Arabidopsis thaliana: one gene and its partners. The protein of the gene in region 1 purifies or fractionates together with the protein of each later gene. This does not show direct contact. Each region holds a gene or a part of one and is shown in the gene's direction. Other genes may lie near its edges. The genes, in order: ECIP1, BTF3, IMPA-8 and AT1G32880.

Region 1 (6,747 bases):
TGAGATCCAAAATAGATCCAATGCAGCTTATTTCACAGCTAGCTAATGTCATTATGGACATCATTGCTGGAAACTCTCAAGAAAGTAGTTCAGCAACCAGACTTCGGTTTCTTACAAGGCATACATGTAAGCACCCCAGTGATGATTACTTTGAATATCAGCTTCAAATTAAAACCTGATCTCACTCTTTATCATATACTGTTCTACTATATATAGCTGAAGAAGAAATGCAGAAATTGAGAAATGCATTGAAGATACTATCTGATGCTGAGAAACACTTGAGAGCATCGAAAAACCAGACAACTTGGCTCACTGTGGCACTTTTGCAACTTAGTAACACCGACTCATCATCTTTTGCAACAGATGAAAATGGAAGAAACCAAATAAACAAAGGTCCTAATTCATAAATTCTCGTTTCCTTTATTTCATGCTTCTTTTTCGTGTTGTCTTGGTTACTAACTATATATAACTTACCCTTGGTCATGTATCTAGACGTTGAGCTCTCCAGCACATCATCAGGTTGTCCTGGTGATGTTATTAAATCAGATGCCGAGAAGGGTCAAGAGAGAAACTGTAATGAAACAGTTGAATCTGTGTGGAAAACGGTTACAGATTTGTGTTGTTCTGATTCACTAAAGAGATTTCTGTGGAAACGAGGAAGGTTGACTTCACTTACTGTTGACAAAGGTAACTTATATTTCCCAAAGATGGTCTGAAAGTTTTACTTTGGCTTGTGTCTCAGATAAGTAAATGCATATTCTTTTTTCTTTTCAGGTGTGGCAATAGCTGAGTTAGAATTCTACACACCTCAACATGTAGCAAGAGCCGAGAAATCATGGAAATTGATTGCAGACTCGTTCCAATCTGTGTTAGGATGCAACGTTGAGATCCAAATGAATCTTGTTATCTCTGCGTGTTCTCCACCAAAGAGTGCTAAAGCAGCAGCAAGTCTTTTCTTTGGACTTTTCAGTTGTTCTCGTAGAATGCTTCACAAGTCGTATTTGACTACAAGAACCGACTCTGACTGCGCATCTGAAAAGCCTGCAGTTACAAATTCTCTGAGAAGTTGCCAAGGAAATGTCTTGAGGGCTCGAAGTGTTCGTTCTTCAGCCAATGCATCATCGCGTATGAGCTGTTCCAGTGATCAAGGCGATGCAACTTCTGCTATGTGTACTCCACACATTCCTCCGGGTGAAAAAAGGTAAAACATGGTTCATATTTATTCATTTCAAAAGTAAGTTGTTTTGTGATTTGGCTAGCTACTCAAGTATACTCTGCCTCTGACTTTGTGCAGGCCAGAAGATGACACTGATGTGTTGTGTTGGAAGAAGACTCCCCTAGGCAAGGTAAACATCTCGACTATGCCTAAGAATTCGGTTTCAGATCTCTGTCTGTACCTTTTTGGTGTTTCTAATTTGTGATGATGATACATGTCTTATAGGGTCAGAGCGAGACACAGAACAGCAAGAGCTCACGGCTTATCGGCCGAGTCCTTCCCTGCAGCACTGCAGCTAATTAAGGGAGCTCGATGAGGGTAATACCCATTTTGTGGAAGTGGAACCAATAGGTTTTAGCAAACCCATTGTTTAGGACAATGTGACACAAAAATGTATAGTTGCAAAATGTGTTTCAAGACCATATTTTAGATTAGCATATACTAATCACTCCTTTAACAGACCTGAATTTTACTGTCTTTGGACCCTTTTATTGACTGAGCTCATTATGTTTTCACAAATTATCTCATTCATTAAAACGAATCAGAATAAAGTGAATACATTAGTCTTCAACTTTTTTGTTACAAAAAGTGGATAATGTTTAATTTTTTCAATAAACTGATTTGAAATTAGAAACATAATTTGGATAAGGTTTTAGTAATTTGGGATAAGATATTGACAGAGAGATATTTATAAATTATCTGGTTTCACTATTTTGGTAGGAAAACTCCAAAATTAAATCCATAACCCTAATCGATATCTCTCTTGGACAGGCCAGCACATGTAACGAGCAATCGTGACCGTTGAGACAGTAACACGTGGCAACAGTCCTTATGATGAGACCTTTGATGAGAATCAGCAGCCTCCATTTCTGTAAGCTTTTTGTTCCTCCCAAAATTCCCAAATCCATCTTCTTCTCCAAACAATCTTCTCTCAAACATTACTACTATTTTCCAGGATAGCTTACGCAGCTTCAGACTCGGGTTCTTCTTTTCGATCTAGCCTCCGTCCTCTTTCTTCTTACCACGGATCTCGCCTGCTCTTTTTCCGTACGACGGTCTGCTTTGTGGATAGTTTGGCTGACGACGAGGCGATTTGAACATTAACAGTTACTGGTACTTGGAGTTTCAAACATTTCTCCGATGTTTTGGTTTTGGCATTTAGTCACGGGAATGATTAATTGATTGATTGCTGTAGAAATATGTGAAGAATGACACGTAGAAGAATTTGATGAAACCTTGGGATGCATAGGCTTCTGTATTATGGATTGGTGATTTTAGATCTCCATTTATGTCGTTTCACATCAGTGTCTTGTGGTTTTAGCTATATGCTGTTTTGGTTTTAGGTTGATATTTATTGTATGGTATGTGTTTGTTAAAGGAATGATTTGATGATGTTTCACTGTTAGGGTAATTGCCAAGGATGGAGGGTTTCCTAACGGATCAGCAGAGAGAGATGATGAAAGTTGCAACTCAGACTGCAGATGATCTTCCACCCTCACAAAAACCTCACTCGGTTTTACTTGAGCATCTGCCTAAACCATCTGGTGGTGGGAAAGCTTCTGGTGCGTCAAATGCTGTGAAGCACAGAAGGTCTCATGCGGGAAGGTCTATTCGCTCTAAGAAGGGTCAGTTACTACCTTTATCAGTTTAGATTTGGGTTTCTAAACCATCAAGTGTCAAGGGATGGCTCTTAGTCAAATTTGGAGCTGAAAATTGTGTAGATTGCATATTTATACTTCCTTTGTTCTTCGGGTAGCGGTGATTGATAAATTTTGTTTCAGATGGAGGTGGTGGGAAAGGAAATTGGGGAAAACTTATTGACACTGATGGAGACTATCACATTGACCCGAATGATCCTAATTATGACAGTGGAGAGGTAGTTTCTGCACCTTTCGTACTAGATGGTTGATTATTTTCTTGCCAAAGTACTTGCACAAAACTGTTTCTGTTGTCCATCTGCTGTTCAGATGATGTAGAAAATTTATCCATTGTGTGTTACTTTTTAGAGATCATCAGTCTCAGCTCTCTTTGTGTTTTTTTTTGTTTTATAGGAACCATTCGAGCTTGTTGGTGCAACTCTGTCAGACCCATTAGATGATTACAAGAAAGCTGCAGCTTCCATCATTAACGAATACTTCAGCACCGGTGATGTTGATGTGGCAGCAGCTGACCTCATTGAACTTGGTTCAAGTGAATATCATCCCTACTTCATCAAGCGGCTTGTCTCGGTAGCGATGGACAGGCATGACAAAGAGAAGGAAATGGCCTCGGTTTTGCTTTCCGCATTGTATGCTGATGTCATTAACCCGAACCAGATAAGAGATGGATTTGTCCTGCTGCTCGAGTCAGCCGATGACTTTGTGGTGGATATACCTGATGCTGTCAATGTTCTTGCTTTGTTCCTTGCACGTGCTGTCGTGGATGACATACTTCCTCCAGCTTTTCTTCCTAGGGCTGCCAAGGCACTTCCAATAACTTCTAAAGGTTACCAGGTTGTCCAAACTGCAGAGAAAAGCTATCTATCAGCTGCACACCATGCTGAGCTAGTAGAAAGAAGGTGGGGTGGACAGACTCGAACCACTGTTGAGGAAGTCAAGAAGAAGATTGCTGACATTTTGAATGAATATGTGGAGACTGGAGAGACTTATGAGGCATGTCGTTGCGTAAGAGAGTTGGGTGTTTCTTTCTTTCACCATGAGGTTGTGAAGAGGGCCTTAGTTACTGCCTTGGAAAACCACGCAGCAGAAGCACCTGTATTGAAACTGCTAAATGAAGCAGCTTCAGAAAACCTGATAAGCTCTAGTCAAATGGTGAAGGGATTTTCAAGATTAAGAGAAAGCCTTGATGATCTTGCTCTTGACATTCCTTCAGCTAGAACCAAATTTGGTTTGATTGTGCCAAAAGCTGTCTCAGGTGGTTGGCTTGATGCTTCGTTTGGTTATCCCTCTGGTGAATGTGGACGACAACAGAACGAGGATGAGAAACTAAAGCGGTTCAAGGAAGACATTGTGACCATCATTCATGAGTATTTCAACTCTGATGACATACCAGAACTCATACGCAGTCTTGAGGATTTAGGAGCACCCGAGTACAACCCAATTTTTCTAAAGAAGCTGATAACACTTGCTTTGGACAGGAAGAATCACGAGAAAGAAATGGCATCTGTTCTTCTCTCATCTCTTCACATCGAGATGTTCACCACAGAAGATGTTGCAGATGGTTTCGTCATGCTCCTGGAGTCTGCAGAAGATACAGCTCTTGACATTCTGGATGCGTCCAACGAACTTGCTCTGTTCTTAGCTAGAGCTGTGATCGATGATGTTTTAGCACCTTTTAACCTGGAAGAGATCAGTAGCAAACTACGCCCTAACTCAAGCGGAACTGAAACCGTGAAGATGGCTAGGTCACTCATCTTTGCTCGACATGCAGGAGAGAGGCTTCTAAGATGCTGGGGAGGTGGGAGCGGTTGGGCAGTGGAAGATGCAAAGGACAAGATATCAAATCTCCTGGAGGAATACGAAAGCTCAGGGCTGGTATCAGAAGCATGCAAATGCATCCATGAGCTAGGCATGCCTTTCTTCAACCATGAGGTGGTGAAGAAAGCACTGGTGATGGGTATGGAGAAGAAGAAGGACAAGATGATGCTGGATCTTCTGCAGGAGAGTTTCAGTGAAGGACTCATAACCACAAACCAGATGACCAAAGGGTTCACAAGAGTCAAAGACGGACTTGAAGATCTTGCTTTAGACATCCCAAACGCAAAGGAGAAATTCAACGACTACGTGGAGTATGGGAAGAAGAATGGTTGGGTTTCGTCGTCGTTTTTAACTTCCCTAACTGAAGATGCTAATGTAGGCTAGAGATCAAGAGGAGATATCCCAAATGGTGTGTGAACTAAAAAAAACTGATAGAATGTACAAGTCTCTTTCTCTCTTGAGCATCCCTGTGGTTGTTTTGTTTTGCACTTTTAGGCTTTGAGAATTCTGCCCAGGGAGCTTATCTTTTCACGAATGTTTAACTTTTTTCTTCAGAGGACCTTTTTATTGCTCTGAATTTAGTCCAACGGAACTTTGGGGCTATATTGGATCAAGTTTCAATTCAGAGTCAATAATAATGCCTTGATGACAATTAGACAAAACAAACTATATTATTTGCATTTGGTGTTTTTCTAATTATGATCCAAACTTTAATCATTTCTTTAATTAAATAAATTCCCATATATGCTTCGATGTACACACAGAGACAACAAGGAAGGGAAGTCTCGAAGCTAACATGAAATTCGTAATACCAAAACTACCCTTCACACTCTCTCTCTTCCTCTCCCTCTCTTTTCTCATCATCTTCCTCTTCGCCTTCCCCACCACATTCCTCCGCCGTCCTCTCTCCTCCTCTTCCTCCGTCACCTCCGTTGCCGACGAAGGAATACGGATCCGTCACCATGGATACTCCTCCTACGAAGCATACATCAAACACCAGCTCAACAAAACTCAGAACCCGAAGCTACGTAAGGTATGGACAACGCGCGACTGGGACAGGAAAGTTCGTGTGTTCTCCACTTTCTTCCGACGTCTCAGCGATCGCGGTCTTCTCTCAAATCAATCAAAAGCTCTCTCGATCGGTGCTCGGGTTGGACAAGAGGTTGCGGCGTTGAGATTGATCGGCGTGGAAGACTCCGTCGGAATAGATCTGGTTCCGCGACCACCTCTCGTGGTGAAAGGTGACTTCCACGCGCAGCCGTTCGACGAAGAGACATTCGATTTCGAATTCTCAAACGTGTTCGATCACGCGCTTTACCCGGAGAAGTTCGTTGGGGAGATCGAACGGACTTTAAAGCCCGGAGGGGTGTGTGTGTTACACGTGTCGATATCTGGGAAGACGGATAAGTACTCGGCTAACGATTTGCTTAGTGTGAAACCATTGGTGAAATTGTTTAAGAGATCCAAGGTTGTGGAGATGAGGAAGATCGATGGGTTTGGGCTTGACACTGAGATTGTTTTTAGAAAGAACATGAACTAAAACACTTCAAGATTCATAAATGTAGTTTTGTTTTAATTTGTTTCATTTCATTACATAGATTCGTTGTTAAGTTGATAGCAAATTGTTTCTTTTTTTGGACTGTATTTTCATTTTCTATCATTTATTATACACTTGCAAATGTATACATCAAATAAATTATAGTTTTATTTTTTACTGATATAAATATGTAATACCTTTGTCTTTTCCTTATTTTCATTGGTTAAATTTGTCGAAAATATGGAAAATCGAATTAACATGATAGTGATGGTCAAGTTTTAAGGTGTGTTGTGAGGGATTTTTGTTTTTTTTCTGTGATTATTGAAAAGTTGACATGGAAATAAATGAATTTCATTCATTCTTTCACTCATTCTCAAATTTGGGTTCGAACCACAACCAAATGTATATTGCAAATGCGGTTTAAAGCTACTTCTGGTTCTTGATGATGATACTCTCACAAATTTGACTATTATAGTTCCTAGTAGTTGCCATGTAACTTTGTCGGTGTATCTCACAAA
Region 2 (4,848 bases), on another chromosome or scaffold:
TTCATGTCTATATACGGAGTTTTGTGGAATTGAATTTAGATTTTCGTGGAAATTTTGGAACCCTAGGTCTTTGATCCCTCGTAATTCTGTGCAGAGATGAAATCAGGTTCGTTTATGTTAGAGAAATCCGCCAAGATCTTTGTCGCTGGACATAGGGGATTGGTTGGATCTGCCATTGTCCGCAAGCTCCAGGATCAGGGTTTCACCAATTTGGTCCTTCGAACCCATTCAGAGCTTGATCTCACTAGCCAATCAGATGTTGAATCTTTCTTTGCTACAGAGAAACCAGTTTATGTCATCCTAGCTGCTGCTAAAGTCGGTGGGATTCATGCTAACAACACATACCCAGCTGATTTCATTGGGGTCAATCTCCAAATCCAGACCAATGTGATCCACTCTGCTTATACACACGGTGTGAAGAAACTCCTCTTCCTTGGTTCATCTTGCATTTACCCCAAATTTGCTCCTCAGCCGATTCCCGAATCTGCGCTTCTTACCGGTCCGCTCGAACCGACAAACGAATGGTATGCGATCGCCAAGATCGCGGGTATTAAGATGTGTCAAGCTTACCGGCTTCAGCATCAGTGGGATGCTATCTCCGGTATGCCCACGAATCTGTATGGTCAGAATGATAATTTCCACCCGGAGAATTCCCATGTGCTGCCTGCTCTCATGAGGAGGTTTCATGAAGCCAAAGCCAATAATGCTGACGAAGTTGTGGTTTGGGGAAGTGGAAGCCCGTTGAGGGAGTTTTTACATGTCGATGATTTGGCTGATGCTTGTGTTTTCTTGATGGATCAGTACAGCGGATTTGAGCATGTGAATGTAGGAAGTGGTGTTGAAGTGACGATCAAAGAATTGGCTGAGTTGGTGAAAGAAGTTGTTGGGTTTAAAGGAAAGCTTGTTTGGGATACCACAAAACCAGACGGGACACCAAGGAAACTGATGGATAGCTCGAAGCTTGCGTCTTTGGGATGGACACCGAAGATTTCGCTTAAAGATGGCCTCTCCCAAACTTATGAATGGTATTTGGAAAATGTTGTGCAGAAGAAGCAGTAAAAAAAACAAGGTCCAAAACACAAAGCAATATTCATTCTCTTTACACGTGAATGTTTATGCGTTTGATTTTTGGTTCTATACAGATCTCTCTATCTCTTTTATGTAATTTTTGTATTCATGGATTTCATACAGTTCAAGTTAAGCAAACTTACTTTGTAATAAATGTACCATTGTTGTTGAGATTATCAATAATCGAATAGCTTTCTTCTCTAAATTTTAGTCAACTAAACAAGTCTGTTCATTGATAAACTCATTTAGATAAATTTGTGGATTTTGAAATTCTGGTAACCAAAAGATTATGGTTTGCTACGCGCTAATACTGGTGATTGATTACGGCACAAAAGAGCCCAGTAAATAATTATTGGCCCAGTTTAGTTTTGGGCCTTATGGGCCAATATTATCATCGAGCATCCAACGGTAGTGATGGAGATTTCTTTATGGAATATCTGATATCCACCGTTAGATTAAGAGACGAGGTTGGCTCCGAATAGCATATAGTTAAAGGGCAAAACCCTGCGCCGCCCGCGTCTCTCCTCTCTCTGTTTCTTTTCTTTTTGTTTCATTTTCTTATCTCCTCACACTCTTCGAACAAGGAAGAACCCTAATCTCAAGGTAAATTCATTATCACTGTAATTTTCCTTTCTATTAGTGTTTTATCTCTCCGGTTCTAGGGTTTCTCTAATCCCCGATTTTGCAAAATGTCAGATATCTTTCTTTCTTGATTCATTTCGCTTCTTTCTGTAGATAGGATTAGTTTTTGTCGGTGTTTGGGAATTTACTGGGTTTTCAACTTCTCTGTGTGTTTGATTGGGGGATTTGGTATACCTAATCGATTGAAAATGATTAAATTTAGGTTAAAACTACTAGTCACATCACCGTGTCTTCATACGCATCTGAGTTTAAATCTGTTCGCGCTTACTTTCTTCTCACTAGTTTCTTGTATAATAAGAAGTTTTTGTGAATGTATTATTAGCAGTTAATGTGTTCATTGATTCTTTTGGAAGTGATTTGGGGATTGATGGATTTTGCTTCTTATTATGGTTTATACACAGATGAATAGGGAGAAGTTGATGAAGATGGCTAATACCGTCCGCACTGGCGGAAAGGGTACTGTCAGAAGGTATAGAGTTTTATTCAACCAATTTCATTGTTCAATACTTAGCATTTACTATGATTTGTGTTATGAAACCATTCGATTTTTACTTGCAGAAAGAAGAAGGCTGTGCACAAGACCAATACAACTGATGACAAGAGGCTTCAAAGCACTCTTAAGAGAATTGGAGTTAACTCCATTCCCGCTATTGAAGAAGTTAACATCTTTAAGGATGATGTTGTTATTCAGTTCATCAACCCTAAGGGTAAGTCATTTTTAACCATTTTTTATCTATACATCAGAACCTTTTTTTCATGTTACTGATCATTGTTCCTCCTTTGAATGTTACTACAGTTCAAGCTTCAATTGCTGCAAACACATGGGTTGTTAGCGGTTCTCCTCAGACCAAAAGTATTGCATCTCATAATATCTCTTAATCTCTACTTTCTTGTTTCTTCTTCATTTCATCTTCTCTGATTAATGTAAACGTGTTGCTTCCTGCAGAATTGCAAGATATCCTTCCTCAGATCATCAGCCAACTTGGTGTGTACCATGTAACTGTACAGCTCTTAAATGTTCTTCATCGATCCTAAGGTCTCTAACTTTATGTTACTTTGATCTCTTTCAGGACCAGACAACATGGACAACCTGAAGAAGCTAGCAGAACAGTTCCAGAAACAGGCTTCTGGTGAAGGTAATGCCGCCTCAGCAACCATACAAGAAGAGGATGATGACGATGTCCCAGAGCTTGTTGGAGAGACATTCGAAACTGCTGCTGAAGAGAAAGCACCAGCTGCTGCTGCTTCTTCTTAGAGAGAAAAGAGCGAGACCACATCCAAAAAAAAACCGCACTTTGATTTTTACATATCTTTATAATATGTTTGTTCGCTCGATCCTTTTTGTAGTTTCCGACCAGAATCTTGTTTTCCATCTAATGACTTAAGGTTTTTATCCAATTATTTGATGTCTTATTGATTCTTTGACAGCAAATCAGGTCCTCGTCTTCTTCTTCCTCTTCACTATGTGGATTAGAAGATTTTGATGTGACACATTGTCTTGTTGCATAAAAACCATTCCACCTGTACTGTATGAGTTTCTTCTCAAACTTTCCAGACATTTCATCACTTTCTCTACAAATTCTCTCTCAGAGACATGTCTATTCGTCGTCAAATCTCAATCTTTCTGAGTTTTCGTAAACCATGGCTTCTCTCTTTGTTTCTACTCCATCATCTTCCTTAACTCTTAAATCCTGTCACAGTTTGCATCTTCGTCGCTTTGACAGAGCAGAATTTTCGAACTTTGGGAAAGCTTCTGTGAATCAGACAACGAGAAGCAGACATTCTTTGAGATGTTCAGCGGAAGATGATCGCGTTCGTGAACCTGTGAACGAAGCTCCTTCTCCGGTGGCGTTAGCGGAGGAGCAAAAAGAAGACCACGATAACAATAATGCGCCGCCTTCTCCAGAGAGCAGTGAAGAAGAGGAGGAAAAGAAGTCGAAGCAGCAAGAGATGGATTGGAAAACAGACGAGGAGTTCAAGAAGTTTATGGGGAATCCATCTATCGAAGCTGCGATAAAGCTTGAGAAGACGAGAACTGATCGTAAGCTCAAGGAGCTGAACAAGGAAAGCAACAGTGAGAATCCGATCATTGGAATTTACAACAGCTTGGCTCGTGATAGTTTGACTAAAGAGAAAGAAAGGCTTGAGAAAGCAGAAGAGACTTTCAAGGCTCTTGATCTCAACAAGGTAAAAAAATGAATTCATTTCTCTTATGCTATGATTCTTCTTTGTTTTGTTGGAATGCATTGTTTTTGAAAGTGGTTTGTGATGATGGGACAGTTGAAGAGCTGTTTTGGGTTCGATACATTTTTCGCTACGGATGTTCGCCGGTTTGGAGATGGAGGAATCTTCATTGGGAACCTGAGAAAACCCATTGATGAAGTCACACCTAAGCTTGAAGCTAAGCTATCTGAAGCAGCTGGGCGTGATGTTGTTGTGTGGTTTATGGAAGAAAGGTCCAATGAGATCACAAAGCAGGTAGAAGAAAGCTTTGAAAACTCTTTAACTTTGATGTTCTTTGATCTCAGGATTTAAGCTAATTGTGAATTGTTTGTTATTTGTGCTTTTAAAGGTGTGTATGGTGCAGCCGAAGGCGGAAATTGATCTACAGTTTGAATCAACTAGATTAAGCACTCCTTGGGGATATGTTAGTGCAATTGCTTTATGTGTTACAACCTTTGGAACCATAGCTCTTATGAGTGGGTTTTTCCTGAAACCCGACGCCACTTTTGATGACTACATTGCTAATGTAGTTCCTCTTTTTGGCGGGTTCCTTTCCATCTTAGGTGTCTCAGAGGTAAGCCGAAGCAAATTAAAAGAACTAACTCCAGGTTCCTTTGCTGTATACATGTAACTAAACCTGTTAGTTCTTTGCTTCAGATAGCAACTAGAGTAACCGCTGCGCGACACGGTGTCAAATTAAGCCCGTCGTTTCTTGTGCCATCAAATTGGACTGGTTGCTTAGGAGTTATGAACAATTATGAGTCATTGCTTCCTAATAAAAAGGCGTTATTCGACATCCCAGTAGCCCGTACAGCTAGCGCGTACCTGACCTCGCTTCTGCTTGCAGCAGCTGCGTTTATATCTGATGGTAGTTTCAATGGAGGTGACAATGCTTTGTAAGTGCTTCATTAAATT
Region 3 (5,730 bases), on another chromosome or scaffold:
CATAGAGAAGAATGAACATGTTACATTTATATCATGTTTGACTAGAAACAAAACAACATAGATCATTTTTCTTGTTAACCTTTGTATAGGTTTTCAATGGCTTCCGCTTCTCTCTGATTCTTTTTTACCATATATACTACTAGATCTACTGTCTTAGGATTCTCTAACCTTTAGGAGTTCAAAATTTATCTCATGAGCTTGAAAGATGTCAATTACTTCTCCAAACTCGACGTTATATGTGTCAAGTACTACATTCATGTCATGACAACCTTTTGTGCATAAAGATACCTCAAAAGCTTTTTTACCAGTTTCGTGTCCTTATATTTTTTTTTGCATACCTCACATTTTATATGGTTTTAATCACTCATCTTTTTATATATTCTCACCCATCCTTATAATTTCAAATTGAAATACCATCATGTCCAATATATTCTCACCCATCCTTATGCATTGTGTCTCATGTGTCTTTAGCATATTTCATATCCCTGGATCAACTTGAGTTAGTGAAACAGTTAGAAAGTAAAAAACAAAGGTAAAGTCTCTCTCGTCAAGACCCTCCGAGTGTACAAGAGGCTCTCAAACAACAAAAGCAAAAGGATAAACTTTTGTTAGCTCAGACTATCCACATAGCCGTCGTCTTCCTCGCCGGACATGCTAGAAGATAACAATCCACACCCAAACTTACCCAGAGAGACAATCTCTGATTCACGTCCACTACAATTACCGAATCTCTCCGAAGCCACCGATCACCTACGCTAGTTTCAGTGGCAATTCGAAGCTTCCAATGAGTTTGTTCTGTAATTCAATCGAAACCCTTTATCCAAAACCATTCCTTTCACACAAATCTCACTTCTTTACCTTCTCCAATTCCAAATTCCAAAACCCTAAATTCACAAGCTTCCCACTTCGTCACCAATGGCGGATCGAATCATGTCTGAAATCAGCATCTTCATCAGAAATCGATATGGTAAGAAACAAAGAAGGTATCTTTGCACCAAAGGAGAAGAAAGTTGTAGTCTTATGGGACTTAGACAACAAACCACCACGAGGTCCACCATACGAAGCCGCAACAGCTCTCCGTAAAGTCGCTGAGAAACTCGGCCGAGTCGTCGAAATCTCCGCTTACGCAAATCGTCATGCTTTTATCCATTTACCTCATTGGGTCGTCGAAGAGAGACGAGAAAGGAGGAACCTTGATTTCATGGAGAGGAAAGGAGAAGTGACTCCAATTGATCCGTACATTTGTGGTGTTTGTGGTCGCAAGTGTAAAACCAATCTTGATTTGAAGAAACATTTCAAGCAGCTTCATGAGAGGGAGAGACAGAAGAAAGTTAATAGGATGAGATCTTTGAAAGGTAAGAAACGTCAGAAGTTTAAGGAGCGTTATGTTTCAGGGAATGAGAAGTATAATGAGGCTGCGAGGAGTTTGTTGACTCCTAAAGTTGGATATGGTTTAGAGGCTGAGCTACGTCGAGCAGGGGTTTATGTTAAGACGGTTGAGGATAAGCCTCAGGCTGCGGATTGGGCGGTTAAGAGACAGATACAACATTCAATGACTAGAGGGATTGATTGGTTGGTTTTGGTGTCGGATGATAAGGATTTTTCTGATATGTTGAGGAAAGCTAGAGAGGCTGATCTTGGGACTTTGGTTGTTAGTGATATGGATAGAGCATTGGGAAGGCATGCTGATTTGTGGGTGCCTTGGAGTGGTGTTGAGAAGGGAGAGATTGGTGAGAAGGATTTGATTCCGGGGAAGAGACCAAGGTTTGAGGAGGATGAGGTGGGATTTGGTGGTAATGATGAGTTGTTTTCGTTGTCGTATGATGAGGATGAGAAGGCGGAGATGACGGTGGAGAGTGATGGGTTTGGGAGGTTTAATGTATCGGCGTTTTCGGAAGATGAATGGGTGGAGGATGAAGGAGACTTTGTGTTGAGTGATAGTAGTGATGATGATAGTGATGATGAGCTTTTCTGATTCATGGTGAATTGAGTTGCATTTCTAAGTGTTGTTAATTGGTTTACGAATAGAGTTCATAGGAGCTTTGGTCGATGTAATTGAAATCAAATGTAAAACCATTCTTACATAAGCCAAGATTTTGTGCATTCATGTGGTCAAAGGCTTTGAGAATTCAAGTTCTTACATAAACCAAGATTTTGTGGTATTGTGGTTTGTCGAATTGAAATTTTGGGTTGGAGTAAACCGGATTCAAATCAAATTTTTATTTTGATCGGTTTAGAGTAGACGGTTAAGTAGCGACTGGATTTTTTGATCAGACGGTTAAAATAAAATCAAGAAAGAAACGATAACTGAAAAACCCGTTTTTTTACGCTTCGTTAAAATTCTGCTTCACCATTTTTGTTTGCATTCTTGCTTGATTGCAAAATCTTTGCCTCTCTCACATTTCAAGTTGAGATTTCTAGGGTTTAGTCTTTAAGTTTTCTAAATTGCTTTGGAGAGGTCGAAAAGAAGAGAGAAAAGCCATGGCTTGGAAAACAGAGGTCCGTTTAAAACTATCTCACAAGTAATCACTCTCTGGTTGATTTTGTGTTGGACTAGTGAGGTTTTTAGGGTTTGGATTGTAGGTGAACGAAGTTTCAGATGATATAATCGATGGTCTTTGGTCAGATGATCCTCCATTACAACTTGAATCCGTTACCAAGATCAGACGTATTACATCACAGAGTAAAAACTTCCTCTGTTTTTTACTTTCTTTACTTTTTCTTGATCTCGGTTTGAAAGATTCGTCTTTTATCATTTACTCTAATATCTTTCCAGGAGATATATCTTGTGTGATACGATCTGGAGTTGTACCGCGTCTCGTTCAGTTGCTTAAAAATCAAGTTTTCCCCAAGCTTCAAGTTAGTTGATATTTTATGATGATGATCAGTGTAACCTTTGATTACGATATATTCAGTGATCTTTGTTTTTATAGTATGAGGTAGCTTGGGCTCTAACAAACATTGCTGTTGACAATCCGGGCGTGGTAGTTAATAACAACGCTGTTCCAGTATTAATTCAGCTTATTGCTTCTCCTAAAGATTATGTTCGTGAGCAGGTAAGTATTTTACTACGTGTAGATATGAGAATACTTGTCACAGACTCACAGATATGAGTTTTGACATTATTCTTGCAGGCTATATGGACACTGAGTAATGTTGCTGGTCATTCGATACATTACCGTGACTTTGTTCTTAACTCTGGGGTATTGATGCCACTGTTGCGTCTTCTGTATAAGGATACTACACTCAGAATTGCTACTTGGGCTTTGCGTAACTTGTGTCGTGGCAAGCCTCACCCGGCTTTCGATCAGGTCTTCTTACTTCTCTCTCTGTCTCTGTTTCCTCTGTTTTGTATACTTTTTAACATATGAAGCATGATTCAACAGGTGAAACCTGCTCTTCCTGCGCTTGAAATACTTCTTCATTCACATGATGAAGATGTCTTGAAAAATGCTTGCATGGCACTATGTCATCTGTCTGAGGGTTCAGAAGATGGAATCCAAAGTGTGATTGAGGCTGGTTTTGTCCCAAAACTAGTTCAAATTCTCCAGTTAGTACTTCTCAGAATATGTATTTAACCCTTTTGTGACATGTTTGGATAAGGAAAGGCTGACAGTTTTTTTTCTTTTGCAGACTCCCTTCTCCAGTGGTGCTTGTTCCTGCACTTCTTACCATTGGGGCTATGACTGCTGGAAATCATCAGCAGACACAGGTATGTATTTCATATTCAACTTACGTTGTCCACCTTTTGGATTTTGTAACCAAACAACAAAATGCTTTGTTATACACCTCTTTGAACTTATTCTTCAGTGTGTGATCAATAGTGGTGCTTTACCCATTATTTCCAACATGCTTACTCGAAACCACGAGAACAAAATAAAGAAGTGTGCTTGCTGGGTGATTTCAAACATCACTGCAGGGACTAAAGAACAAATTCAGGTGAGAAACTTTTGTTGCTATTATCCCCAATGAAAATTTACCATTTTTGTCTTTTGCTATCACTAATTTGTTTTTCTTTTTCCCCTGGTGATTACAGTCAGTTATTGATGCAAATTTGATTCCAATCTTGGTCAATCTTGCTCAAGATACTGACTTCTACATGAAGAAAGAAGCTGTATGGGCAATTTCAAATATGGCCTTAAATGGTTCTCATGATCAAATCAAGTAACGTCCCTGTCTTGTTTCTTTTTTCAACTTTAATGTACTTATTATAGATCATCAAGTCTCACAATTCTCCATTGGTGTGATTCAGATACATGGCGGAGCAGAGTTGCATAAAACAATTATGTGATATCCTAGTATATTCAGATGAAAGAACCACCATCTTAAAGTGTCTGGATGGATTGGAAAACATGTTGAAGGCCGGAGAGGCTGAAAAGAACAGTGAAGACGTGAACCCTTATTGTCTACTGATTGAAGATGCGGAAGGGCTAGAAAAGATTTCGAAGCTGCAAATGAACAAAAACGATGATATCTACGAGAAGGCTTATAAGATTCTGGTGACGAATTGGTTTGAAGAGGATGATGAGAACAACAACAACAACGTCCGATGTGATGATGTGGACTTTCAGGTGTGAGAGAACCAAAGTTCCAGTTCCTTATATGGAAGATCCCAACACAATTATTTGTTATAGTGAAAAAAAAACATCTTACATGGGACCAAAGGCTTTGCACCTTTGTTGTCTCAGGGCTTTACTTGGTCTTTAATTGAATGTACAAAGTTGATGTAAAAGCTTTGGCTCCATCGTTCATGGAGTCTAGTACATTGTTTTGGGTTTTAAAAGTTTTCTGTGTTAAAGCTCGTCGTCTAATTGATGTTGTGTTTGGTTTTAGTTGAAAGGTTTAGACGTTTAGTAAAAAAGTTACTCAAATTCTTGAAATCTCCTTGGCCTTGCTGATTATAAAATCAAATATTCATTTATAAAATTATGCGAAAGGGTCTAATTATTTTTGAAACCGAATCGAATGAAGACAACTCCATTTTGATTGATTTTTTTTTTGTTGTATTAAAGAATAAAAAACTCGACTGGTTCAACAAGACTGGATTGTCTTTAAACTACTGGTTCAATGTATTTTGGGTACATAATGAAAAAAATACACAATCCGCCTTGGCCACGTATCCATCTTTGGCTTAGTTGATGATGATAATACTTTTGTTTTTTGGTAAGGCTGATGATGATAATAGTTAGAAGAAGTTCATAGAATAATCCAATGGATTTCCAATAATAAAACACAGAAATAAATATAATCCAAACAATTGCCAAAAATAATGAATAAGAAAAGGGACCCACACCAAAAGCTAAAAGCGCGTGGGTCAGATTACAAAAAGCGAAACCCCAAACCGTGGCTAGACAGCGGACGAACCCGTCCCTTCAAACGTGGCTCACCTTTCGAACCACAGAGAGCAGTTTACACTCCAACTGTCAAAAACGTGTTCCCATGACGTCATCCTCAACGTATCTTTATCACTTTTTAAAACTAAAGACTGTTTTGTCTTTTTCTAAATCGTCCCCTTTCTCCGAACACCATACTTAAATTCAATAAAATAATAAATATCAAAACTGAACCATCGAATCGGAACCAGCCACAGTACACAATACACTTAGACGAAGTAAAGTGATTCAGAAGGACACGTGTAAGTCACATACCGTGGGACACTTGTCGTTACCAGATCCTCCGTGTTTCTCACTTTTCTTATAAAATAAAAACACAACACTTCTTCACTTTCTG
Region 4 (4,143 bases), on another chromosome or scaffold:
CCAGAGTTTGTTGCGGGAAATCAGTCGGCGTTTGTAAAAGACAGATTACTCATCGAAAATCTGTTACTTGCTACGGAACTAGTCAAGGACTATTATAAAGATTAAGTCTCTACCCGTTGTGCTATTAAAATAGATATCTCGAAGGCGTTTGACTCGGTCCAATTGGCTTTTCTGCTGAATGTTTTATTGGCTATGAATTTTCCTGCGGTTTTTATACATTGGTTAAAACTGTGTATTACTACGGCCTCTTTTTCAGTCCAAGTAAATGGCGATCTCGCTGGTTATTTCCAAAGTGCAAGGGGTTTACGTCAGGGTTGCTCTCTCTCGCCATATCTGTTTGTCATAAGCATGGATGTCCTCTCAAAGATGTTGGATAAGGCTGCCGGAGCTCACAAGTTTGGTTTCCATCCTCATTGTCAACGTTTAAAGCTCACTCATCTAAGTTTTGCAGATGATTTGATGGTTCTAACGGATGGTAAGGTTAGATCCATATAGGGTATAGTGAAGGTTTTTGATGAGTTTTATAAGTACTCTGGGTTAAAAATAAGTATGGAGAAGTCGACAATGTATATGGCAGGAGTATCACCTTTAGTGAAAGCAGAGATTGCAGCTCTTTTCCCTTTTGATATAGGTCAATTGCCAGTTCGATACTTAGGTTTGCCTCTTGTTACTAAGAGACTCATGGCTGAGGATTATGATCCTCTTCTTGAGCAGATTAGGAAACGCATCGCGTCGTGGACTTCACGCTACCTCTCATATGCAGGTAGCTCAACTTGATTCAATCTATCCTCTGGAGTATTTGCAATTTCTGGCTAGGCGCTTTTCGTTTACCGAGACAGTGTATCCGAGAGATTGACAAGATTTGCTCCGCTTACCTATGGTCGGGTTTAGAACTGAGTTCAAAGAAGGCAAAGATATCGTGGGAAAAAGTTTGTAAGCCGAAAATAGAGGGGGGTTTGGGTTTGCGAAGCTTGACAAAAGCTAATGATGTTTGTTGTTTAAAGTTGGTCTGGCGAATCATTTCTAATAGCAAGTCTTTATGGGTTCAATGGGTCACCACATACCTTCTTAGGAGGAAGCATTTTTGGACATTGAAGCAGAATACAAATGCAGGCTCTTGGATTTGGAGAAAAATACTAAAGTACAGAGACAAGGCGAAATAATGTGTACAATGCATCATTCTCTACCAAAGAAACGTGGCACCATATCAGAGCTCCTTCTCCCACAGTCCCCTGGTACAACGGGGGTTGGTTCAATCACGCCACACCAAAGTTTTCGTTTTGTACTTGGCTCGCGGTCCAAGATAGGCTCTCAACAGGGGAGCATATGGTTAAATGGAACAGAGGAGAATCGGGTCTCTGTGTGTTTTGTACTAACACTATGGAAACTCGTGATCATTTGTTTTTCTCCTGCAACTATGTCTCGACAATTTGGGGTGACGTAGCTAAGAAGCTATGGAAGACCAGATTCACAAAGGAATGGCCACAAATTCTGGCCTATGTTTCAGACAAGTCATTACAGCGAGTCGATGGTTTCTTAATCCGGTATGTCTTTCAAGCTACAATACACACAGTTTGGAGAGAGAGGAATGGGCGTCGTCATGGAGAAACACCGAACACCACGTCACACTTGATAACTTGGATAGATAAGCAGGTGATCGAAGATATGACAAGGGCAACGTACAGCTCACTCTAAACATTCTCTAAACACCTTTAATTTCTAACTATTTTTTTTCTCAGCTTTTCTCATTTTGCTAAACGTTGCACGAGTTGTAAAAACGTTTTGTTTTTTTTTGAATATAATTTAACATTTTTTCAAAAAAAAAAGAAGAGTAAATCAAATCTCTCTTTTACTCTTTTTCTTGATCGATTTGAAAGATTCTTCATTCACTCGAATGTTTCTTATATTACATGTGCAGAAGATATGCGTAATGTTTCTTATATTACATGTGCAGAAGATATGCGTGGTCCTATCGAAACAGTGATACGATCTGGAGCTGTACATCGTCTCATTCAGTTTCTTCTCGATGAAAGTTTCCCTAAGCTTCAAGTTAGAAGAAAAATTTCCCCCATCAAGTTGATGTTTTTATTGATGATCAGTGTAATCTTTGATTCTGATATATATACAATGATTCAGGTGCACAACATAAAACAATTTGTCTATTTGCTATCTCACTAAACTAAACTGTTTTCCCCTGGTGATAACAGTCAGTAATCGATGCAAATTTGATTCCAACCTTGGTCAAACTGACTCAGAATGCTGAATTTGACATGAAGAAAGAATCTGTATGCGCAATTTCAAATGCGACCTTACTTGGTTCTCATGATCAAATCAAGTACGTCCCTGTCTTATTTCTTTCTTTTTGCACTTTCAACTTAACATGCTTATAGATGATCATCAAAGTCACAATCTCCATTTATTGGTGTGATTCAGATACATGGTGGAGCAGAGCTGCATCAAACCTTTATGTGATATCCTGTTTTGTCCAGATGTAAAAACCATCTTAAAGTGTCTGGATGGAATGGAAAACACATTGAAGGTTGGAGAGGCTGAAAAGAACGCAGGAGACGACGTGAGCTGGTATACTCGACTGATCGAAGCGGAAGGGCTAGATAAGATTTTGAACCTGCAAAGACACGAAAACATCGAGATCTACGACAAGGCTTTGAAGATTCTGCAGACTTACTGGCTTGAAGAGGATGATGAGGATATACAACAACCTCCAAGTTAATAATCTAGTTAAGTAACATCATTTGTTCAAATATCCTAAAAGATAAGAAAATTCTTTTGCTTATTTCTATTGGTACTTTTTTAACAATACCAGAGAAAACTTCCAAGCATAAACTGTGATACTAAACAGCTTCTGAATCTAATAATCCAAGAGAATAATTACAATGACTTGACTCTCTAATGGTTCACACAAAACCAAGCCTTTATGTCTCTTAACCTCTTGGATTTTTCGGTTCTCACCATAACAAAGGCCTCCCTGAACCTCCCATTGTTCCTATGATCACCCAAAACAAAGCACATAAAGCCCCAATGATCGATAAGCAAAAGAAACCTTTGTTCTTCTTCTTCTTCTTATCGTTGTTTCCTCCAGACTTGTTCCTCTTCACTGCTGAGTCACTATCCATAACAACAACATTATTACCTGTGCTTTTAGAAGTAAACCTGAAACGACCACCACTGGTTGACATTCTAACAAGGTTCAGCTTCACAAATGGATTCTCTGATGCATATGCTGGCTTTGCAGGAATGGATTCCAGGAAAGTCCATACACTAGAAGCAAACTTACTAGACTCGTCTTTTGACGGGTCATCTTCATTAGTTGTACTTATACCAGAAGGAACAGGGTTTAGGAATTCAGATGAATCACCTGTCAAGGGAATATGATTAGGATAAGAAGCCAGTCGCTTTCCTCACAATTAGATAGAATATTTAGTATGCGAGTGAAAAGAGGTATCTACAGGAAAATCTGTTAGTGCTTTCAAGTACCTGTACCAGGCGCCTCACCAAACCGGGTAACGGTAAGTCCGTCATTGTTTAGCTCCTGCACCCACGATGATCCATTGTTTATCTGTCTGGTATAGCTGTTACGGAGTGGCCAGTTACTAGCTTGGTTCTTCCCTGATTGCTGCTGGAACTGGTTATTATTGGCCTGGTAAGTCATTAAAGAAGTATTCACCTGAAGACTTTGTGCAAACCCATTTTTCAAATCACCACTAACAAAATCTAACTGAGGATTTGTCACTCCCAAATCAAGGAAATATGAATCAGCACCAACGAAATCATCATCATTCAGGAGACCAGAACCATCCTCGTTCCAGTTATTCTCCATGACTTCCACAGAAGTTGGTTCAGGTTCAGGTTCCATAAGATCATTGATTTCCAAATACATATCTTCCTCCAGGTTCTCCAGATTATACGTGTCTACATGAGAGTTCAGTCCAGACACCCCATTCTGCTGCAATGTTGGACCAGACTGATCTCTAACCTGACTCATCAGCTCTTCAATATCATTATCATCCAATTCAGATTGGTTAAGCCCTTTCCCCCATAAACTATTATCAACACTAGCCGAAACAACGAGCTGATTAGCAGGCTCATCAACATCATCATCATCATCTTCAGCCCATTCTTCTT

The links.
Region 2: the proteins of ECIP1 (region 1) and BTF3 fractionate together in Arabidopsis thaliana (co-fractionation; one large-scale study listed by BioGRID). This does not show direct contact.
Region 3: the proteins of ECIP1 (region 1) and IMPA-8 fractionate together in Arabidopsis thaliana (co-fractionation; one large-scale study listed by BioGRID). This does not show direct contact.
Region 4: the proteins of ECIP1 (region 1) and AT1G32880 fractionate together in Arabidopsis thaliana (co-fractionation; one large-scale study listed by BioGRID). This does not show direct contact.

Annotation. Positions count from the first base shown.
Region 1 is NC_003075.7:12,779,827-12,786,573, forward strand, and holds ECIP1 (MA3 domain-containing protein), read left to right. Parts: upstream 1-1,935; 5' UTR 1,936-2,087; exon of another isoform or gene 2,088-2,171; 5' UTR 2,172-2,484; exon of another isoform or gene 2,485-2,622; 5' UTR 2,623-2,636; coding exon 2,637-2,841; intron 2,842-2,997; coding exon 2,998-3,092; intron 3,093-3,267; coding exon 3,268-5,076; 3' UTR 5,077-5,371; downstream 5,372-6,747. Other genes in the region: AT4G24790 (AAA-type ATPase family protein), read left to right, coding at 1-126, 217-393, 493-687, 775-1,201, 1,295-1,346, 1,442-1,519; AT4G24805 (S-adenosyl-L-methionine-dependent methyltransferases superfamily protein), read left to right, coding at 5,489-6,232. UniProt on the Arabidopsis thaliana protein: Involved in target of rapamycin (TOR)-regulated translation control, especially under energy-deficient conditions. Involved in the regulation of the ethylene-mediated signaling pathway. Involved in salt stress responses.
Region 2 is NC_003070.9:6,150,689-6,155,536, reverse strand, and holds BTF3 (basic transcription factor 3), read left to right. Parts: upstream 1-1,554; 5' UTR 1,555-1,671; intron 1,672-2,111; coding exon 2,112-2,179; intron 2,180-2,268; coding exon 2,269-2,417; intron 2,418-2,506; coding exon 2,507-2,563; intron 2,564-2,656; coding exon 2,657-2,695; intron 2,696-2,780; coding exon 2,781-2,965; 3' UTR 2,966-3,153; downstream 3,154-4,848. Other genes in the region: GER2 (NAD(P)-binding Rossmann-fold superfamily protein), read left to right, coding at 95-1,059; EGY3 (ethylene-dependent gravitropism-deficient and yellow-green-like 3), read left to right, coding at 3,352-3,897, 3,991-4,188, 4,283-4,507, 4,591-4,829.
Region 3 is NC_003076.8:21,117,871-21,123,600, reverse strand, and holds IMPA-8 (importin alpha), read left to right. Parts: upstream 1-2,481; coding exon 2,482-2,499; intron 2,500-2,583; coding exon 2,584-2,683; intron 2,684-2,776; coding exon 2,777-2,859; intron 2,860-2,933; coding exon 2,934-3,056; intron 3,057-3,134; coding exon 3,135-3,311; intron 3,312-3,386; coding exon 3,387-3,550; intron 3,551-3,633; coding exon 3,634-3,712; intron 3,713-3,810; coding exon 3,811-3,939; intron 3,940-4,036; coding exon 4,037-4,164; intron 4,165-4,252; coding exon 4,253-4,577; 3' UTR 4,578-4,655; downstream 4,656-5,730. Other genes in the region: AT5G52010 (C2H2-like zinc finger protein), read left to right, coding at 785-1,975.
Region 4 is NC_003070.9:11,912,516-11,916,658, reverse strand, and holds AT1G32880 (ARM repeat superfamily protein), read left to right. Parts: upstream 1-1,923; coding exon 1,924-2,049; intron 2,050-2,207; coding exon 2,208-2,335; intron 2,336-2,433; coding exon 2,434-2,731; downstream 2,732-4,143. Other genes in the region: NAC13 (NAC domain protein 13), read right to left, coding at 2,967-3,376, 3,496-4,143.